Arabidopsis thaliana: one gene and its partners. The protein of the gene in region 1 interacts with the protein of each later gene in a pairwise test. Each region holds a gene or a part of one and is shown on either strand. Other genes may lie near its edges.

The links.
Region 2: the proteins of AT5G59650 (region 1) and AT4G26620 interact in a protein complementation assay, tested with the Arabidopsis thaliana proteins (one large-scale study listed by BioGRID).
Region 3: the proteins of AT5G59650 (region 1) and AT1G80890 interact in a protein complementation assay, tested with the Arabidopsis thaliana proteins (one large-scale study listed by BioGRID).
Region 4: the proteins of AT5G59650 (region 1) and PGR5-LIKE A interact in a protein complementation assay, tested with the Arabidopsis thaliana proteins (one large-scale study listed by BioGRID).

Annotation. Positions count from the first base shown.
Region 1 is NC_003076.8:24,029,800-24,035,631, reverse strand, and holds AT5G59650 (Leucine-rich repeat protein kinase family protein), read right to left. Parts: upstream 4,287-5,832; coding exon 4,205-4,286; intron 4,095-4,204; coding exon 3,557-4,094; intron 3,449-3,556; coding exon 2,993-3,448; coding exon of another isoform or gene 2,970-2,992; intron 2,911-2,969; coding exon 2,716-2,910; intron 2,630-2,715; coding exon 2,558-2,629; intron 2,474-2,557; coding exon 2,402-2,473; intron 2,316-2,401; coding exon 2,247-2,315; intron 2,152-2,246; coding exon 1,985-2,151; intron 1,894-1,984; coding exon 1,652-1,893; intron 1,581-1,651; coding exon 1,454-1,580; intron 1,375-1,453; coding exon 1,309-1,374; intron 1,226-1,308; coding exon 1,036-1,225; intron 935-1,035; coding exon 532-934; downstream 1-531. UniProt on the Arabidopsis thaliana protein: Required for accurate photosynthesis.
Region 2 is NC_003075.7:13,426,527-13,431,749, forward strand, and holds AT4G26620 (Sucrase/ferredoxin-like family protein), read right to left. Parts: upstream 3,524-5,223; 5' UTR 3,352-3,523; coding exon 2,974-3,351; intron 2,478-2,973; coding exon 2,392-2,477; intron 2,285-2,391; coding exon 1,979-2,284; intron 1,730-1,978; coding exon 1,646-1,729; intron 1,551-1,645; coding exon 1,073-1,550; 3' UTR 663-1,072; downstream 1-662. Other genes in the region: D6PKL1 (D6 protein kinase like 1), read left to right, coding at 1-662; AT4G26630 (DEK domain-containing chromatin associated protein), read right to left, coding at 4,347-4,516, 4,604-4,634, 4,855-4,946, 5,143-5,223.
Region 3 is NC_003070.9:30,395,273-30,398,741, forward strand, and holds AT1G80890 (GAG1At protein), read left to right. Parts: upstream 1-1,855; 5' UTR 1,856-1,938; coding exon 1,939-2,089; exon of another isoform or gene 2,090-2,511; coding exon 2,512-2,603; 3' UTR 2,604-2,938; downstream 2,939-3,469. Other genes in the region: AT1G80880 (Tetratricopeptide repeat (TPR)-like superfamily protein), read right to left, coding at 1-951, 1,057-1,649; MGT1 (magnesium transporter 1), read right to left, coding at 3,017-3,247, 3,334-3,381.
Region 4 is NC_003075.7:12,005,459-12,010,090, forward strand, and holds PGR5-LIKE A (PGR5-LIKE A), read left to right. Parts: upstream 1-1,527; 5' UTR 1,528-1,698; coding exon 1,699-1,897; intron 1,898-2,323; coding exon 2,324-2,436; intron 2,437-2,534; coding exon 2,535-2,631; intron 2,632-2,723; coding exon 2,724-2,824; intron 2,825-2,919; coding exon 2,920-2,976; intron 2,977-3,060; coding exon 3,061-3,137; intron 3,138-3,230; coding exon 3,231-3,393; intron 3,394-3,472; coding exon 3,473-3,570; coding exon of another isoform or gene 3,571-3,574; exon of another isoform or gene 3,575-3,647; coding exon 3,648-3,717; 3' UTR 3,718-3,727; intron 3,728-3,799; 3' UTR 3,800-4,078; downstream 4,079-4,632. Other genes in the region: LDOX (leucoanthocyanidin dioxygenase), read right to left, coding at 1-20, 105-601. UniProt on the Arabidopsis thaliana protein: Ferredoxin-plastoquinone reductase involved in cyclic electron flow (CEF) around photosystem I. The homodimer is probably not involved in CEF.

The DNA of each region.
Region 1 (5,832 bases):
ATGAGTAAATGCATTTTCTATTCAACAAAATGAATAAGAAAAAGAGGACAGCAAAGTCCCAACATCACTATCATGAACTCAATCATGGAAGATATGGAGCAGACCCAGAAGCACGTTAAGCAATAAACTATCACATCAATTATATTTGACATAGCCTTAAGTGAATGGTGAGCCTAATAATTTCAGAGTACAGATAAATGTATGTTGAGAAATCACAATCCATAATCTGTTTCTTTAATTTTATATACTATTTGACAGTTTTAAATCAATACTCTTCCAACCATTTTACAAATATTTAACCAAAATCATTTGTTTGTTAATGATGGAACCACAAAGAGGTATACTCTTTTACGGTCAATGATTATTAGCATCCAAGCCACACATACAAAGAATGAAAACATCACTAAGCACACATAAAATAATGAAAACATCACCAAGTAACAGGGTATATGATCTTGGCATGTGGATGATCAAAGCAAACATGACCAATAGCCCAACTAATTAGCATGGTTGTGTTACCTGCAGCACATACTACCTTGCCCTCGGAAACAACTCTGTGTCAAAGCTCATGCTCACTTTAAGAGAATTCTGAGAGTCCATATTCATATTTTCCCTCAAGTTTTCAGAAACAAGACATTCTTTCAGTTCATTAGCAACTTGGGACATGTTTGGTCGGTTCACAGAAGAAGGATTCGCACACGACATTGCCAGTTCAAGAACTCTCCATACAGAACGAGATTCGTAATCCCCGTTCAGGTTTGGATCCATGATCTTAGTAATATCTCCTCGGGTAAGCTCAAATCCAACCCATTGTGATATGTGAGACTTTGAACGGGACTGGTCAATCACAGGTTGGTTTGTGATAATCTCCAATAACACAATTCCGAAGCTGTACACATCGCTCTTCTCACCCAGTCGAGTTGTCTGGTAATATCTGCACGGCAAAAGTACATGGTTATACTCTCTAACCAATATATAAAGTGCAAAATGACAACTCACTTTCAGCACATTGTAATGGTAACTAACGACACTTACTCAGGATCAAGGTATCCAGGAGTACCAGCAACCACAGTTGAAATATGTGTTTCACCTCCAATAGGGAAAGATCTCGAAAGGCCGAAATCGGCAAGCTTGGCCTTTAACTGTTCGTCCAGCAATATGTTTGTCGTTTTTATATCTCTATGTACAATTGGTGGTGTGCATCCAGAATGTAGATATTCCAATCCTATTCAAAGGAATGATTATTTGTTAGTCCACCAGAAGGAAAGTCATTTTAAGCTGCCAATATTGGCTAATAAGCTTACGAACCTAGTGCAGCCTCCAGAGCTATTCGTAGACGATTACCCCAGTTGATAAAGGACCCACCGCTTTTTCCTGAATACTTGATTCTTTAGATCCTTGGGAACGTTGAAACATATATACACTTTCGAATCATGAAGAAATTCAAGTTTACCAGATAGATGTTGTCTTAAGTCTCCCTTGGGCAAAAACTCATAGATGAGAGCCAAGTGATCTCTTTCATCGCAATATCCAACAAGACTCACCAAATTTGTATGGTGAACTCGTAGAAGAAGATCAACCTAATCATTCATGGGAAATAAAAGTAAGAGAAAGCGTTAGATGGTCATATTTTTAAGAAGATTATGCATACCTCTGCCTTAAAATGCTTATATCCTTGACTTGATGATTGAGAGAGAACTTTAACAGCCACCTGTTCAGAACCATTTATAGTACCATGACAAACAACACCGAATCCTCCTTCCCCTACAACTCTTTGAAAATTATTCGTCATTTTGATAACCTCTGAATAAGTAAACCTTCTCTTTTTCGTCTCGATTGATGGTTCAGGTGAATTATCATGAACCATTGGCATACTCAGTGGAGGTTGTAGAGCTATAGATAAGAAAGAAAAAAAGTAGGGTATGTAAGAATTCATCGATTTGTTGCAGTTTCTTGATTTGATGAGAGATCTCCTGCAAATTACCTCCCACAGTAGATGACTTTTTCTTACTGAGAACAAAAATAATAACCAACACAGCAACAATTATGGCCACAGAAGCAACTGATGCAACAATCACCACCGGGAATTTCTTCTTCGAGTTTTTTTCTGTGCAGGAACCAGAGAGACAAAGCCTTGGGTTGCCTTGAACTCTGCAAGAAAAAGAGTGTTGTTAAAAACATCAAATCACAAAAGGGCTGTGGAAAATAACTGTGGAATATTAAAAAGTACGTGGGAAGTTTCTTACAGTAATTCTAGTCCCTCTCTTCGAAGACCTTGAGGAAGGGGACCACTAAGATTGTTGCCGCTTAAGTTTCTATTAAAGAAGAGCAATCTTCATGCATACAGACACATGAACCAAAGGAGAACTGAAAGTAAACGAAAATATGCTGAGCAACTTACATGATCACCAACGATTTCATCTGGGCTAGAAATTCCGGCACCACTCCAGTTAGTGTGTTATTTGACAAGTCCCTAAAAGTTTATTTCCAAAATAAAGTAGAGCTCATTAGGTTTTCCTCCATCAACAAAACCAATATTAACTATGGCCATACTTACAGTTTTTCTAAATGTGTAAGGTTTTGAATTGCGGCCGCAATGATTCCAGTTAAACCGCTCGAAGACAAATTTCTGGTGATTCCAAAGCATGATAGTTAACTTATTTTGAAGATAAGTGTCAAAGTGTGCATGTTCATATCTTGGATCTTACGACTTACAAGGATAATACTCTTGGAGGTTTAGAAACATCTGTGTTGTTGCTACAGTTCAAACCATCCCACGCATACTTTTGAGGGACGCAAGGATCTCCTTGCCACCTGATTCTACTCAATTTATAGGCAGCTTCGATATTTTTAACAGCAACCACTGATGTAGAGCTCAAGGATGTGAGAATTAGCAGGTGAAGTTGATTTCTCTAGTTAAAAAAAAAAAACAGACTGTATCTGCATAACAATGAAGATAAGTAACATACCATCATTTTCATTTGTTTCCGACCGTGGAAATTGGATAACTGTGTAGATTTCAAGAGCGTTAAGTAGAGAAGGAAGAGTTGACCTCGAGGTTTTTATTAGCTGGTAAATGCAATTTTCTCCTTTGCATGTCACTGGAGAAAGATTATGGATAGTAGTCACCCCTAACTTTGGAGGGATGAAACCTTCTTCAACAACAGCTCCATCCCATAATATGTCAAATTCTCTGGTATCATTGGTCTGTAAATCTTGTATCTCAGAGAAGTGGCTGTACAAGTAATATTGGTCACCAGGATTGTCTGGTGGCCAACTGATTGTCAATGGCGCGCTGGCATTAGAAGGCGTGGCAGCCGCTGCAAGAGCCTTTTTTGGTGGTTCATAATTGTTATCATTGGTCACTTCGAGAGTGGTGAAAATTTGGGTCCAATCATCCACCATAAAGTAATTATGCCATCTGCGATCATAAATATCATCCGGGTACCTATGTGGAACAAAGGTTGTATTATCCTTGAATAAGTATAGGAATGTTAAAAATAAAGAGTATAGGAATATAGAATCCATCACTGTTAACCAAAAAAAAAACACTTACCGAAGAAAGCCATCTGTCTTGTTGAGATATATCCGAACGAAAAGATTCAAAGAACCATCTGTGAGATAAGAATTATTTCCTAATGGCCGTAATTCCAAGGCTGAGATCAAGGGTGTAGTTGTCCCTGTCTTAACAAGACAAACGTTCAAAGAGTTTGATGTTGGAGTGTGAAGGATCTCCTCCATTGTACCATTCACAAACTTTTGCAAATCTATAGTTGCCCACAGATTAGGTCCTAGATGCAGTTCAAATATCGGGTTAGAGTTACGACCATCGTAATTCCCATAAATGAACCTAGCCCTGATCAAATATTTCCTGTTCTTGTCAACACTCAAACTATAGCAGTTCCTTCTCTCCTCTGGAAAATACCTCAGCCTCGTGTACGGCTTAAGGTAGTCATTCTCCATACTCGCCTGGATTTTACCACTTTCACCAGTCTGGATGAATTCAGCATCAGACGAGAACCGTAGTCCGGTTACTGACTCAGTATAAGAAGACGGTTCAGTCATGGGTAACCCGCAATCCAAACTGATAAACTCTGTTAAGAGAGTGAAAAATCAAAAGCATCTCAGATACAAACATAACTAAGACTCGAATCAGTAAGAAGTAGTAGTGTAATATACATATAAACCATTAAGATTTAGGTACCTTGTTGATCCTGAGCTTGAACACAACCAATAATGGCAAAAGCTCCTAATAGCAGCAGCAAAAGCCAACAAGGACTATCCATAATTGCTTTTAGATATCAAAACCTTACCAATGCCAGAGTTTGAGAGAAACACAGCGTATAAATAGATAAACCCAAGAAACAGTCCAAGCCTCTGGCAACATGGCAAGATGTCCTGAGTCAGTGAAACGAATGAGTAAATGTGTTTTCTATTGCAACTTTACAATTACAAATTTGATTTGTCCCAAGAATGTCAGAATATATGCAACTTGTATTTAGAAAAAATAATATGCAACTTCTGTGTTTTTAAGAGAATATGTCAATAGAGGGTTTTACAGTCACCACTCTTTTAACGCATTAAAAAATGTTCACACAGAGAGAAAGCAAGAGATTTGACTTTCTAGTGGTCAGTGACTTTGATTGAATCATATCGGATAATTTATCACTAATTAATACACATTTTGACGTCTTCATCGACAAGAACAGCTTCTAATCACAAAGCAGAGGATTCACATTTATCAACAATGACTATTATCTAAAGAGAAGTGGGTCAACATGAAGAAACAAATTTCAAGACAAAGACGCCATTATCAGATATCTAAAATCATAAAGTTCAAATTTTTAAAGGATTTTCAGTTACATCATAAACTGAGAAATTACCTTCCGGCCATGAAACTGAGAGAATTTTGATTCCATCTCTTTGAGCCGGCCCAATAACTTTTGTGAGGAGGAGGACGAATGTGAGGAATCTCCGGAGATAAATCGGCCATATACGGCAGCGAAATCTCCCGTCGTGAGAAGGACGGCGATGACAATGAGACCTCTTCATCGGCGATTAGCACTGTTTGAGAACGCGATTGGCGATTTGGAGTGCTGGAGAGTAGCGTTTTAAACGCAACGGTATGTATATTTTTCAACGTTGCTATAATAACAGAAATAATTGTTATGGGCCAAACATGGGTTTTATCAGCCCATTAAACAGAAAATAATGAATTTGGAGTGCTGGAAACACGGTCGCTGGAGAGTAGCTTTTTTAAACGCAACGGTATGTATATTATTCAAGCTTACTTACAGAGTTTCTAGTTGCGTAAGATTTTGAATCGCAGCAGCCATGGTTCCAGTTAGACCACTTGAAGACAAGTTTCTGGTGACATGTCCAAAACCACATTCAAGTGTCACAACTACTAACGGATATTGAAGAGCGTCTGGTCAGAAATCGATATTCTTACGAAAAAATTACGGTCATTATTTTCGTCAGAAAATTGTGACCATTTTCATACAAAATTGTGACGTATTTATTTGGTCATAAAAACGTTACTATTTCGTTATAATATTATGACTTAATTGAATGTAACTAATGTTTGTCACTAATTATGTCAAATTTGTTACAAATTATATAGTCATAAATATAAGTACGGATTTGCGACCAAATATAGTAACTAAATTATACGATAATTGTGACTGAATTTATGTCATGTATAGTTACGAGAATTTTGTAACAACGATGACACAATTTGTCACTGTTTTAGTGACTTTTGCGTTTGGTCATAGATTGTGACATAAGTGTTACCAATTTTAATACAAAAATAAAAACTTGTGAACAAAAAAT
Region 2 (5,223 bases), on another chromosome or scaffold:
CTGAAGGGCAAAAGAACTCGGGTTATTGTGCGCAACCTGCTTGCATCCAACAGCCATCTTGCATTTCTGCTCCTACAACATGCTTTTCTCCACGTTATTTCTCAAGTAAATCCAAGAAAGACAAGAAAATGAAAAACGAAACTGGAAACCAGGTAAGTCCATTGCCCGAGCTCGTTGCTGAGCCCACAAGTGCTCGCTCAATGTCATTTGTTGGCACACATGAGTATTTAGCTCCTGAGATCATCAAAGGTGAAGGGCATGGGAGTGCGGTTGATTGGTGGACTTTTGGGATCTTTTTGTATGAGCTATTGTTTGGTAAAACCCCGTTTAAAGGGTCAGGAAACCGAGCAACACTCTTCAACGTTGTGGGTCAGCCTCTGCGTTTCCCAGAATCTCCAGTTGTCAGTTTTGCTGCTAGGGATTTGATTAGGAGTCTGCTTGTGAAAGAGCCTCAGCATAGATTAGCGTATAAGCGTGGTGCAACTGAGATGAAGCAACATCCTTTCTTTGAAGGAGTGAATTGGGCATTGGTTCGATGCGCTAGCCCACCAGAGATACCAAAACCGGTTGATTATGAGAGTGCGCCTGCTACTCCAGCAGCAGCCACATCTACTAGTGTCAAGTCTGACCAGAGTAATTATCTGGAGTTCGATTTCTTTTGACATATTTCAGCAAGAAAACTGCCATTAGATTTATCAATTTGTTCTTGGCGATCTGCAAATACGTTTAGTATTTTGAAAATGTGATAACTCTTTTTAATTCTTTGTCAATGCCATTCTTGAGAGTTCACGCTGAGATGGTTTTGTGATTACCTGCAACGCAAAGAAGCTTAAAAGCCCTAAGCTACTTTTCTAAATCAGAAATTGCGAAAGCTGAGATATTTTAGCAATAACACTCGGTTCTAAGAATCTTGAGAAGCAGAAGCAGAGTTAACAGGATACATATCATCAAACAGTTCTGACAAGAACCCTCCTTTAAATCGAAAGGAAAATGTAGTTTGAAAGCAGAAACAAAATCACAATGTCTTATAAGAACACAATACACAATCATCTTAGGGCTACAAATTTCTTCGTTACAACTGTTTGTAGCAAGTATAGGCAACAGCCACGGAAGCAGCAGCACAGACAACAGCAAGAGCAGCATAAGTATCTTCTCGCTCCCAGCTCTCTAACCATGTTGGTATTCCGCAAACCTTACGTGTCGAAGATCCTTTGTCACTATTAATTCTAAAGAAAGTCTTTTCTGCAATTTTTCTTCCTGGTGTCAGCTTCTCAGTGTTGTTTTCACTTTCAAGTTGATTATCTTCTGATGTTCCCAGTGACAACATCAGAGTAGTGTCGTCTTGACAACATGAAGAGCTGTTCCCATTTTGTTGGCAACAACCATTAGGTTCTGCAGCTCGTGACTGGCAACAGGAAACATCGGCGTTGTGAACCGATGATTCTTGACTCACTTTCCCATTGATCTTTACGGAATGGACTGTACCATTTAGCTGAAATCGCCCTTCTTGAGTTTTCTTCTGATCTTCTTCTGATAGACCCATTTCACCCCTAATAATCAGAGAAGCATCATGTGTGAATCTACCAATTACCACTAATCCGGAAACTGCGAGAAAACTGACAGAACAAGAAAACTTTGTACGTACCTCCATAGCCGGTCTACAATCTCGCCTTTGTTGATGTGCTGCTCCAAAAGAATAGGTACATCTTCTGGGGTCACATACCCATACCTAGACACAAGAATGATTCAATCATCAAGTCAAAAACAGGGTATGATTGATTCAGACATTGCAGAGAACTTCCAATGTACTAATAACAACTGAAGTTTGAAGATACCAATTAAAAGATCACAACCGTTCATGAAACCAACACCATTACAAATGTATTCTTGATCTTCTCATTCAAAATTATTGTAAAACCACATGAAAAAGATGAATATAGCCTCAAACTAGTTGATAAATCCGTAATTCCTTACTCACCAGTGTCCTGTGACTTCCCTGTTGATGTTTGATCGGTAGATGATAACATTCCCAGCGTATTTGTGACCACCTATGTGAGAACATGGGCTAATTGACACTTTACCTTGAAGACCATGGAACTCAAGTTCTTCTCTGAATCTACTAACTAGCGACGGCCCACAAACCCCACATCGCCGGTCTCGGGATCCATGGGAACATACAAAGACATATGAGCCTTTCAGCAATTCAGGATTTCCAGGCAGCCATTCACCATCCTTCACAAGCACCTCTTCCACAAAGGTCTCCACATCAAAGTGAGTCAATCTCCTGCAATTTTTGTTAAATCAAAACTGTCAAAAAAAAGTCCCAACTGTTGATAGAAAAAACGAAACCAAATCTAAGAAATCTCCAACTAGGAAGACTTCACCCCTTACCTGTATCTGATCATATCAGGAAAAATAAGTACATCACCATTGGATGTCTCTGTTCCATCATGCCCCTCACATATTGTGAGTCGAGTCTACGAAACAATGGCCAAAAAAAAAAAAAAAAACATGAGGCACAAAGCAAAAGACAATCATGAAGGCATCATCATGAGACTATCCGAAAAGAAGCAATCCATTACAGACACCATTTCCACTTAAGTTCACCACTGTCATAGCTCAAAAAACGGAGGTGCAAGTCCTAAGATCCCATCTTGAAGCCAATAGACAAGTTATTATGTTGTTAGCCATAGAATCGTGCCAAAAATAGAAACTTTGCCTTATTTGACCCATACAGAAATCCCAAGAGTCACCAGGCAAGAGTTTTTATGACTCATTACGACCTTAAACAGATACTTTAAGTAAGCCAAAACAAGTGAACGCAAATGCTTTTTGCTTATTTGGGAGACTTATTGGAAACAATCAGACCTAGATTTATGAGAATCAAGCAATATACTTGGAAACAGGAGATGCAAGTTAACAGCGAACAAGCTGAATCAATGGAATCAGAAAATAGTAGAGTAAAAAGCTGACCTCCTTCTTCATGCTACCCTTTCTGGCCGATACAGCAGCAGAGAGTAGCCTAGGCAATCGATCGAACTCAGCAGCCTCGATCCTTGCGGGCCAAACAGATGGCTTTTTGTAGCACAAGAAGACATGCCTCTCGTAAAACTGTACGGTTCCAGCTAGTTGTTCCGATCGGAAATCAGGACGAGCGAATCCAAAATCAGCGTCGTTGATGCTTTCTCCACCGCCTCCACCGAGTAAGCTCTCGCTTTGAAAACTACCGGAGCGAGAAGTGGGTTCGCCGAGAAAGTTGTCGAGATAGTCAGATACAGTGACTGGAGACGACGCCGTAGATGGATTGCTGGTGAAGGATAAAGGGTCGTCTCTATCTCTTCCACTTCCCATTTAAAAATTCGACCACAAGTTTGAAACTTTACAGATCGAAACTGAAACTACGGAGACGAAGAAGAAGTGAAAGTTTCTCAGTGATTCTTCTACTGAGAGAGGTCTGTCAAGTATATTCCGTTACTCTTATTCCGGTTTACTCCTTAATCGATATTCTATTTTGCAATCGGACCGGTACTTTTGCCTTTGTGTGTGTGACAGGTCTTTTCGAATCTAGTACATCAAATAAGATAATAGTAGCTGCAGCCAGAATGATAAAAGCCTGGACAAGTGTTGCTTATGCTTATAGTTAACCATGTTTAGCCATCTGCTTTGAATTCTATGTATTTGCAGTGTCTCCATTGCAATCTATTTAGGTACTCTGAATGTAACAACAGCAATTACATTCTTTTGGAACTTGTGTTTGGGTTGTCCGAAAAGGGGATGTAGAAGAAGAGCACAGATTCTTTTCTGTATATTTTGGTCCTGTAAGAATACAGACTCTCTTCTTCATCAATGTTAATCTTTGTTGTATATGTTTATGAGGTACCAATTCCTACATTTCTTAGACTGGATTTGCGTTGGTAGATTTGCAGATATGTTAGAGATAGATCAAGGATACAAGATGAGCATAAATTCCTTCTGCAATATTCAAAGTCTTAAAGGGAATCAAGAGAAACATATTATTCATTTATTACCATTGGCCTCCTTCAAACCAAAAGACATAAACAAAAGAAACCTTGACAATGTCTCGAAAAGGGAGCCTCACAAATCAAAGACAATCCAAGGAGGCTTTTATGTTAAATGCTATAGACATACAAGCAACCTATCCTTTGGCTATGCAGCTTCTTCCTCTTGTCTCTACCAAAAGTAAAGCTGCTTTACGCAGTTCAGACTCCAACAACAAAATATTACATCCACAGATTTAACTTACACATTTGCCAGATGACTACTAGGCATTAGGCAACAGTATCTGACAGAGAGACTCAATATGTGCGATGTGATCAGAAAGGAGTTTAGGCTTTCACCTCCTCACCACCACCAGACCCTCCTGCTTCCTCCTTCTCTGAATCCTCTTCTTTCTTTTCCTCCTCCTCCTCCTCATCTGCTAATTTGGTGAGCTCCTCTTGGATTATCATCTTTATAGATGACTTTCTTGGAGTGAGATCTTCTGTGAACTCCTTAGCTGAAAGATGGATGAAACAATGTGTTTATTTTATATATAACCAGGAATCACTGGAAAAACAAATGACTGAAACCAATCTGTTCATACCAAGTTCTTTAAGGATGTCCGTGAACGTAGCCTGCAGAAGAACAACAATGCTCTTATTAGGTTATCTAGGTATAGAAGGAAATTCACAGTTTGAATAGATATTGCACAACAAACTTCAAATCAGCTTTCAGAAAACGAAGGTTATTTCATGTAACCAATAAGTTTGTTCGGCAGAATCCAATTTTGTTTTATTCCACACACATCCCAAGTAGTTAAGTGTATCGCATATAAAAGGTTGAGAAATTACTCACCGTACTAAAGTCCACTCTTTTCAAGATCTCAACGATTGCATTTTTCAGCACTTTATCACTCGGCTTGTCTTTCCCTTTTCCAGCCCTTTTTACTTTTAGCATATAGACACAAACAGAGATAAACATGGTGTCAGAAAACATTAGTGGTTGTATATTGGTTCGCTTCTGAAAATGAAGATATAAGGAATAAGATTCTCCAATGCATCTGACATACACTACACCCAACATGTTTTTATTCTACCTAAGCGACCATCTTACTGGAAGAAAAAAACAGGATAATGACCAAACCTGGCTTCTCTTTTGATGCAGACTTTGAAGGAGCCGGGGAGGCCTTGATAGGGTTTTCAGACTTCTTCCTCTTAGAGGACG
Region 3 (3,469 bases), on another chromosome or scaffold:
CTGACCCCCTTCACCTTTTGCTCCTCAAGAAGTTTCTGGAGCATAGGATTTCCTACGAACCCCTTTGATTTCATCTCTGAATAGATCTCTCTGGCCTTTTCAAGCCACCCACATGACAAAAGGCCCTGTATTGTAGCCAAGTAAAGAGCAGGATTAGCCACTATCTCAAAACGATCCATTTCTGCCCAGATCTTCAAAGCATTTTCTGGTTGCTTTCCCTTGAACAATTTTCCAAGAATAAGAAGAAAGGTCTCTTCTGTAGGACCTAAATCAGAGATCTTCATTTGGCCTAAAACCTCTAAAGTTTTCTCGAAATTTACAGCCTCAAGGAATGCATGAAATGTATCAACTGTTGGACTAAGGTTCTCACTAATCATGGTTGCCAATACATTCCTGGCTACGTCCAGCTTTCCAGCCTCACAAAGGGGGCGTATCATCGAGTTGTAGGTCACTGAATCTGGCTTTAATCCTTCCTCGTTCAACTTTTTCATAAGCTTCATAGCTTCATCAAAGCAATCCTCACGGGTCAACACATAAACCAAGGAATTGTAAACTTCAATCCCTGGAGCCAATCCCCGTTTCTTCATTTCATCGTATAGCCTGAGAGAATCAAAAAGGTTCCCAACTTTAGAGAAGCAAGAGATCATGTGACTGTAAGAGTCCTTGTTAGGCGTGATACAGTAATTCCCCATCTCTCGCCAAATCCTCTTTGCTTCAGTCACATCAGTCCAAATGTTACACCAACCATTAAGAATTACGTTGAATCCCTCAACATCCACCGGAAAGAGCTTTTTGCTTGCAAGCATGAACTCTTCAGCTTTTTCAATGTGGCCATGTCTACACAATGCACATAGCAATCCTTGAAATGCTTCATCATAAGGAGTGTGTTTAAACTTATCCATAATATCAAATGTCCGAATAGCTTGGCTAGTATCATTAGCAGCAGCATATCTACATCAACACCGTCACCAAGACAACCAATTCAATACCTAGCTAGTAAATCTTTCAATTTAGCACAACAAAAGAGAAACTTTTATCAAGAAGACGAAACCGAACCTGTCCATCATGAGAAACATGGCCTTTCTAGTATCCTTTGAAACATTAAACATATCACGGATCAAACACCAAGCAATGTTGAACTTTTGATGATTACCCAACACCCAGATCATCAAATCACAAGATTTCTGATCATCACAGCCGCGTTTCTCTCCCCATTTGAATGCTAGAAAGGCAAGCCTCCATTCATCTCTTAATTCCCAGATTAAGGAGTAGAAAGAATCATGATTTAGATCAAATGATGAGTCCTCCAGAGAAGCCATGGCATCCGCCTCTGACTCCAGCTCAGAGACCTGTCTGATTAAATCAATCAGACCCTTTTCTAACGGAGCCAATGCTGTTAAGTTGATATCAAATGTTTCGGAGATGGTTTTGGTGGAGAAGCGATTAGAAGAGGCAAAATGTGGGAGATAGCTTAAAACTTGAGAATGCACATGACCTGCTCGATGAAATGCTGAAGAGAAGGAATGATTTTGGGAAACTGAGCTCGAAAACGACGTCGACACTGCACGACGTAGCAGAGATTGATGCTGAACAATCCGCCATTGTGGCGTTCGCGCGAGTTTCCTACCAATGGCAACGATCGCGGCCATAGCGAGTGAGTGAGAAGGCTTAAATTAATACATTTCAAACATGGTCTTAATGGGATGAGGATATGAAGTTAATGGGGTCAAAAACGAATATATAGATAATATGGGGTCTAATATGGTAATAAACAAAGTAACACTAATATGAATGGGCCTAAATAGGGCCCATTTTAGATTTCTTTAAAAGATCCGAGAGAGAGAGGGATCTAATTCCTGATAAACCCTAGAAGAAGAAGAAGAAGAAGAAGAAGAAGAAGAAGAAGAAGAAGAAGAAGCAAAACCTGTGGAGATCGAGATGGGAAATGAGAGCAAGAGCAATTTGGGAGGAGGAGGAATTAGGGCAAAGATGGAGCACTATGTCTACAGTGGGGAGAAGAAGCACGTTTTGGCTGGGATCGGGATTATCTCCATCATCTTCGGAATCCCTTGGTATCTAATGAATCAAGGTTCGTTTTCTCTGGGCGATTTAGATTGAAATATATAAATAGATGTTTCTCTGTAGATTCCGAAATGGAAGAGGATGATGATATCAATAGCTGAAAGATTTAGAATCTAAAGTTTCTAACTTTATATTTCTTGGCAAATGCAATCAAGTGGTCGATCAAATAGAGTTTGATTATATGATAATGATGAGTCACAATGTTTATTCTGTTTGGATCATAATAGACTTGCATGATCACATTTTTTACCAAGTTTGTTTGCTTTTTCCCCTGATGATCACACATCGATTCAATTGCATAATCTCAATGGTTAAATATCTTATTTGCTATATGTGACATTTGGTAATATTCTCCTTGTTTTGTTCATTATATAGGCTAATTGTTTCTCTTATTGGCTTTTGTTGTTTGGTAAATCTGGTTTGTTTCAGGATCAAAGCATCGTTCTCACCAAGATTACTTGGAAAAAGCTGATAAAGCTCGAAAAGCTCGTCTCTCATCATCTTCATCCTCGGATAAGTAGTCATCTCCCCCCACTTGGATGGAGACTCTAGTCAACTACATTTTGTGAATGGATCCATACATCATCGTTTCCATGTCTATAAACTCAGCCATGTCTGTTCTAGAGTGTGGTTCAGTTCAGATATGTATCTTTACACTCTACACTTAGGTTTCTTTATCGAAGATATGTAAATTTGCGATAAGTTAAAGGATTCATCCTTTACGATACTGTTGTGTGAGCTGTGAGTTTCGACTAGGACAATCCATAAAGTGAAAGATCAAGATGAGTCTGGTATGGTTTGCTTAATAATCTTTCAGTAACCCAAAAAAAAAATACACGGGGTTTTATCTTGTAAAGGTCACAGGCGATTAATGTATAGATTTAAGCAACATAAACAGTAAAACAATCGTCTACGTGTCAGGGTAGTTATGTCTTCACAGAGGCATGAGTCTTCTACGTTTGTAGTACCAGAGGAATGCCAAAAATACAACAAGGCCACACACTCCAGTAATGGCTAAAACCCATTTGAAAGCACCAGGCTTTTCAAAGAAGTCTATCTCAAAATTCATCCCAAAGATCCCGGCTACAACCCCGAAGATGGCTACAACGAATGTGGCAGTAGTTAGCAGCAGCTCGAATTGGATCAGCTGATTCCGTACGTTATCCTGCAAATTCCAGAAATTTTCAGCAGATTCTTAAGGTTTTCTAAGCAAATAAGATATCTAAAAAAGATCAAGATTTCAAGGTATACCAATTGAATGTTGATGAAATCTTCGGTATCATCGATGTACTCCTTTAACTGAAGAGTAAAGAGAGTTGCAGGTGATTAAACCGCTTTTAAAAGCTGTTAAAACAAGATGATGAATGATCACAAAGGCGAGGTTTTT
Region 4 (4,632 bases), on another chromosome or scaffold:
CGTACTCACTCGTTGCTTCTCTACAATCATCGAAAAACGTTAATAAAAGATTCTAAAACCAAAACAAGATTTTGTTTTCTTTAGTAAAACAATTCAAAGCTTACATGTAATCACTTGGTGTCTTAGGCCAAATTGATAGATCTCTCTTCTCTTCAGGATACGCAAGATGAAAGAAGTAATCTTCCCATTCCAATTGTCCACTCGCGTTGTTAGCCAATTTACTTCCATAGCCTTGAATCTTTCCAGTGGCTTGATCGTTTGCATACTTCTCCTTCTCTTCCACAGACAAACTGAAAAACTCTTCTCCGGCTTTCTTGACACGCTCCATTAGATCAGCTGGTATTCCATGGTTGATCAAATGCATCACTCCCCAATCCAAAGATGCCTTTTTCAGCTCCTCAATACAATTCTCACGGATCTTTTCATCGTCTGACTCGATGTTCTTTAGATCGATTGTGGGAACTTGAGGACCGTCTTCTTTCTTCTCTTCTAGGAAAACATCGTTGATGCTCTCGAGCTCTTCTTTTGGACGAATATATTCTTTTGGAATCGATATGATTCCGCTTTTTGCTAGACTCTCAACTCTTTCAACCGCAACCATCTTCTTTAGTCTTCTGTTTAAAGCTAAAACAGAGCAGAAAACAGAGTAAGAAGTAAATAAACTTAAAAACAGGGGAAAAAACAGAGTAATAAAAAAAATGGATTTGTTTTGTTTTTCTTCTTACACTCTTTTTTGTAATTGGTTGCAAGTAAATGAAATGTGCAAAGACTCTTTCTTATATAGCAAAGTTTTTACTATACTTTTAGTTAGAAGAGTTTGTTACCGAACTAAGAGACATTGTAGAGCTACCGGTGGTTAGTGCTATTGTTGTGAGGTAAGTGCGTGACTCACTTCACGGTCAACGGGAGAGGATGGTTGGGTTGACTGATTGGTCAAAAAGATTACTACTATATGGGCTTGGGTCTAGACTCCCAGAAAAGGCCCAATAGAATTAAACCCATAATCGCTATCAACGTGTTCTTCGTCGCGTGCTTTAAGCGTGTCTCCACGTGTTCACCTCTACTAGTTCTTCTACTAACCACATTTTCTTTTTGTAGTTTGGAAATCAATTACTAAAAAAACAATTTGACTGGTTTTCAATTTCAAATAGACAATTGTATGTGGATCAATAATTCTTTTGGAAAACTAAATTATTTATCTTGTTTGTTTTTTAAAATTTGGAACTCATTTTTATTTTAATGGTTTGTACTAAAGTATATTATCAGCTGAATTCAACTACACATACTACATGTCAAATTTTTTTAAAAAATCACCATGTTTCGAAAAAAAAATCTTCTTACTCATCTCACAGTATTTTTTTTATTGTATAATCAAAGCCTAAAATTATGTCTTTTCTCTATTTTAAGTTTTTGTTTTGTTTAAGAAAACCGGATATTTAATGCTGACGTGGATATTCTGATTATGAGGATGAGAGGAAGGAAAAAATAAGAGAAATCTGCCTAGGAATTTATCTCCACACTTCTCTTATCTCCTAATTTCTTCCCTCCAAATTTATAATAAAACCAAAAAAAAAAAAAAAAAAAAAAATCAGAAGAAACCTGAGAAGCTCACAGTAAACACATCTTCAACCACAGGTTCATACTTACTGAAAAAAACAGAGGAAAAAAAGGAGCTCCCTTTTCTATCTCTAAGGGAAAATGGGTAGCAAGATGTTGTTTAGTTTGACAAGTCCTCGACTTTTCTCCGCCGTTTCTCGCAAACCTTCCTCTTCTTTCTCTCCTTCTCCTCCGTCGCCGTCTTCGAGGACTCAATGGACTCAGCTCAGCCCTGGAAAATCGATTTCTTTGAGAAGAAGAGTCTTCTTGTTGCCTGCTAAAGCCACAACAGAGCAATCAGGTCTTGATTTGGCCACTTTAGTCTCGATTTCGAACACTCCGCCTTAGTTTTCTGTTTACAAAGCCATTTGGATTCGAATTTGTTCACAATTGGGTTTCCAAAGTTTGAGCCTTTTGAAATTTAGGATATATTATTTTAATTCAACGTCTCTAGCTCTGAAAATTTATGTTTTTAAGTCACTAACTTGTAGTATCCAGACTCGAATCCTGTTAAAGTTCAATTCTTTGAAGGGTTTGATTGATTCAATGGCTATAACTTTGGTATAGTATATTTGTTTGTATTGGACTTTGTTGACTATTTAGTGGTTAACTCTGTACTAAAGTTTTGCAATGTCAGAAGTTGTGTAACTATTAGGTTGCATAAGTAAGGTATCAACTTTAGATTTGCTATGAAGTTCTCAATTACAGTCTTTTTGTCTTCCTTAAGGTCCAGTAGGAGGAGACAACGTCGATAGCAATGTTTTGCCCTATTGTAGCATCAACAAGGCTGAGAAGAAAACAATTGGTGAAATGGAACAAGAGTTTCTCCAAGCGTTGCAAGTAAACGCTACAATAAACCATTTTTTTTATAGTTGCCAAAACATGATATATATCTAATCTTCAAGAGCCTGAGAATTGCTTTTGTCTTTTGATTACAGTCTTTCTATTATGATGGCAAAGCGATCATGTCTAATGAAGAGTTTGATAACCTTAAAGAAGAGTTAATGTGGGAAGGAAGCAGTGTTGTGATGCTAAGTAATCATCAACTATGGGACTAAATTTCATTTCTTTGTTTTGGTTTCTTTGGTGCAAAGTCCTAAATCTTTTATTGGTAATATGAAACACAGGTTCCGATGAACAAAGATTCTTGGAAGCTTCCATGGCTTATGTTTCTGGAAATCCAATCTTGAATGATGAAGAATATGATAAGCTCAAACTCAAACTAAAGGTTTCCATTCACTTTTTATGCTTCAGTGAAAATAGACATACCCTTATAAGATTGGTTTAAGCTTCAAGTTTATGATTCTTTCTGTATCCATGTAGATTGATGGTAGCGACATTGTGAGCGAGGGTCCAAGATGCAGTCTCCGTAGTAAAAAGGTAAATAGAACATAAGATTCATTGTTAATATTAGATTATAGATAGATACTAATTTTCAGTCTTTATGAACTTCCTCAAATGTAGGTGTATAGTGATCTCGCTGTAGATTATTTCAAAATGTTATTGTTGAATGTTCCAGCAACCGTTGTTGCTCTCGGACTGTGAGTCTCTATACCGAGTTTTCTATTCAAACATCCAAATCATATGAAACCCATATTTCGTCTTTGTTTATTCATTCAATTCTGTACTTGCAGCTTTTTCTTCCTGGACGACATTACAGGTTTTGAGATCACATACATCATGGAGCTTCCAGAACCATACAGTTTCATATTCACTTGGTTCGCTGCTGTGCCTGTGATTGTATATCTGGCTTTATCAATCACCAAATTGATCATCAAGGACTTCTTGATCTTGAAGGTAAGAACCATTACCATTACTCAAGATTGCAAAAGAAAAACATCAAAGAGCCTTTTTATGAATGTTTCTTGTTTCACAGGGTCCTTGTCCGAATTGTGGAACGGAAAACACCTCCTTCTTTGGAACAATTCTGTCAATCTCCAGCGGCGGCAAAACCAACACTGTCAAATGCACCAAGTAAGATTTTACCTTCGAATATGGTTTCAAAAGTGTAACATATTACTATCTGATTCTTTGATTATCTCTGTTTTTAGCTGCGGAACCGCGATGGTGTATGACTCGGGTTCTAGGTTGATCACATTGCCAGAAGGAAGCCAAGCTTAAACCCTGTGAGGTACACATCTCATTTATAGTAAATTCTTTAGATCACATGGAAGTCAGAGATAGTAAAATTTGCTTTTTCCAGCTAGATGAAGATGGGAAAAGAAGAATGGGTTTTGTCAGAAGCAAAATAGATTCGAAGTTAAATGTATATGTAAGATCTTCCATGTTAGCTCTCTCTCCTTCACATGTTTTCTGATTTGTAAGTATTGTGTGTAAGCAATAAGAGATATATAATATGAGCACTTCTTCATCTACCTTTGTAGATAAAAATATAATCATTACTATAGTTAAATCAAATTGTATACATGAAAGACCAAATTCGAATTTAAAATGTTTATTTCGATAACTTTACAATTTCAAATTAACTTTGGTACATTTCTAATACTATTATGATTTGTATCTAAAACGACCTTAAAAAATGATTTTAAGTCAAGAAAACGAAAAGCATACACGATTATATACATTTGCTTACCGAGGCAAGAAACTATGAGAAATGCATGGTGTTAATTTGGATGTAAATTTTATGAAATGGTGTGGAACATAAAGAGATTGATTGAGAAGAGAACTAAAGTCAAGAACATATATAATGAAAGGACAGACAAAGGTAACAACATTGCACAAAAGAGGATAAAGTCACACAAACATTAGCACGCCAATGTCTCTCTCTTTTTTAGTCTAAAAATTGATTACAATTTTTTTTTATGAATTTTAATTAACACAGAAAGTGTAATCATGATCATCATCTTCCCATGCCTCTATCATCATTGATCCAATTTTCTCCTCCACTACTGAACCTATTAATTGCTTTTACGTTGATTTAAAAATTTTAAAACCTCTACGTTAGAACGGTCATATGCTTATTTAACAATTAGATCATGTCTTCTATAAAGGTAAAAGAGAAATCTGACAAATGAA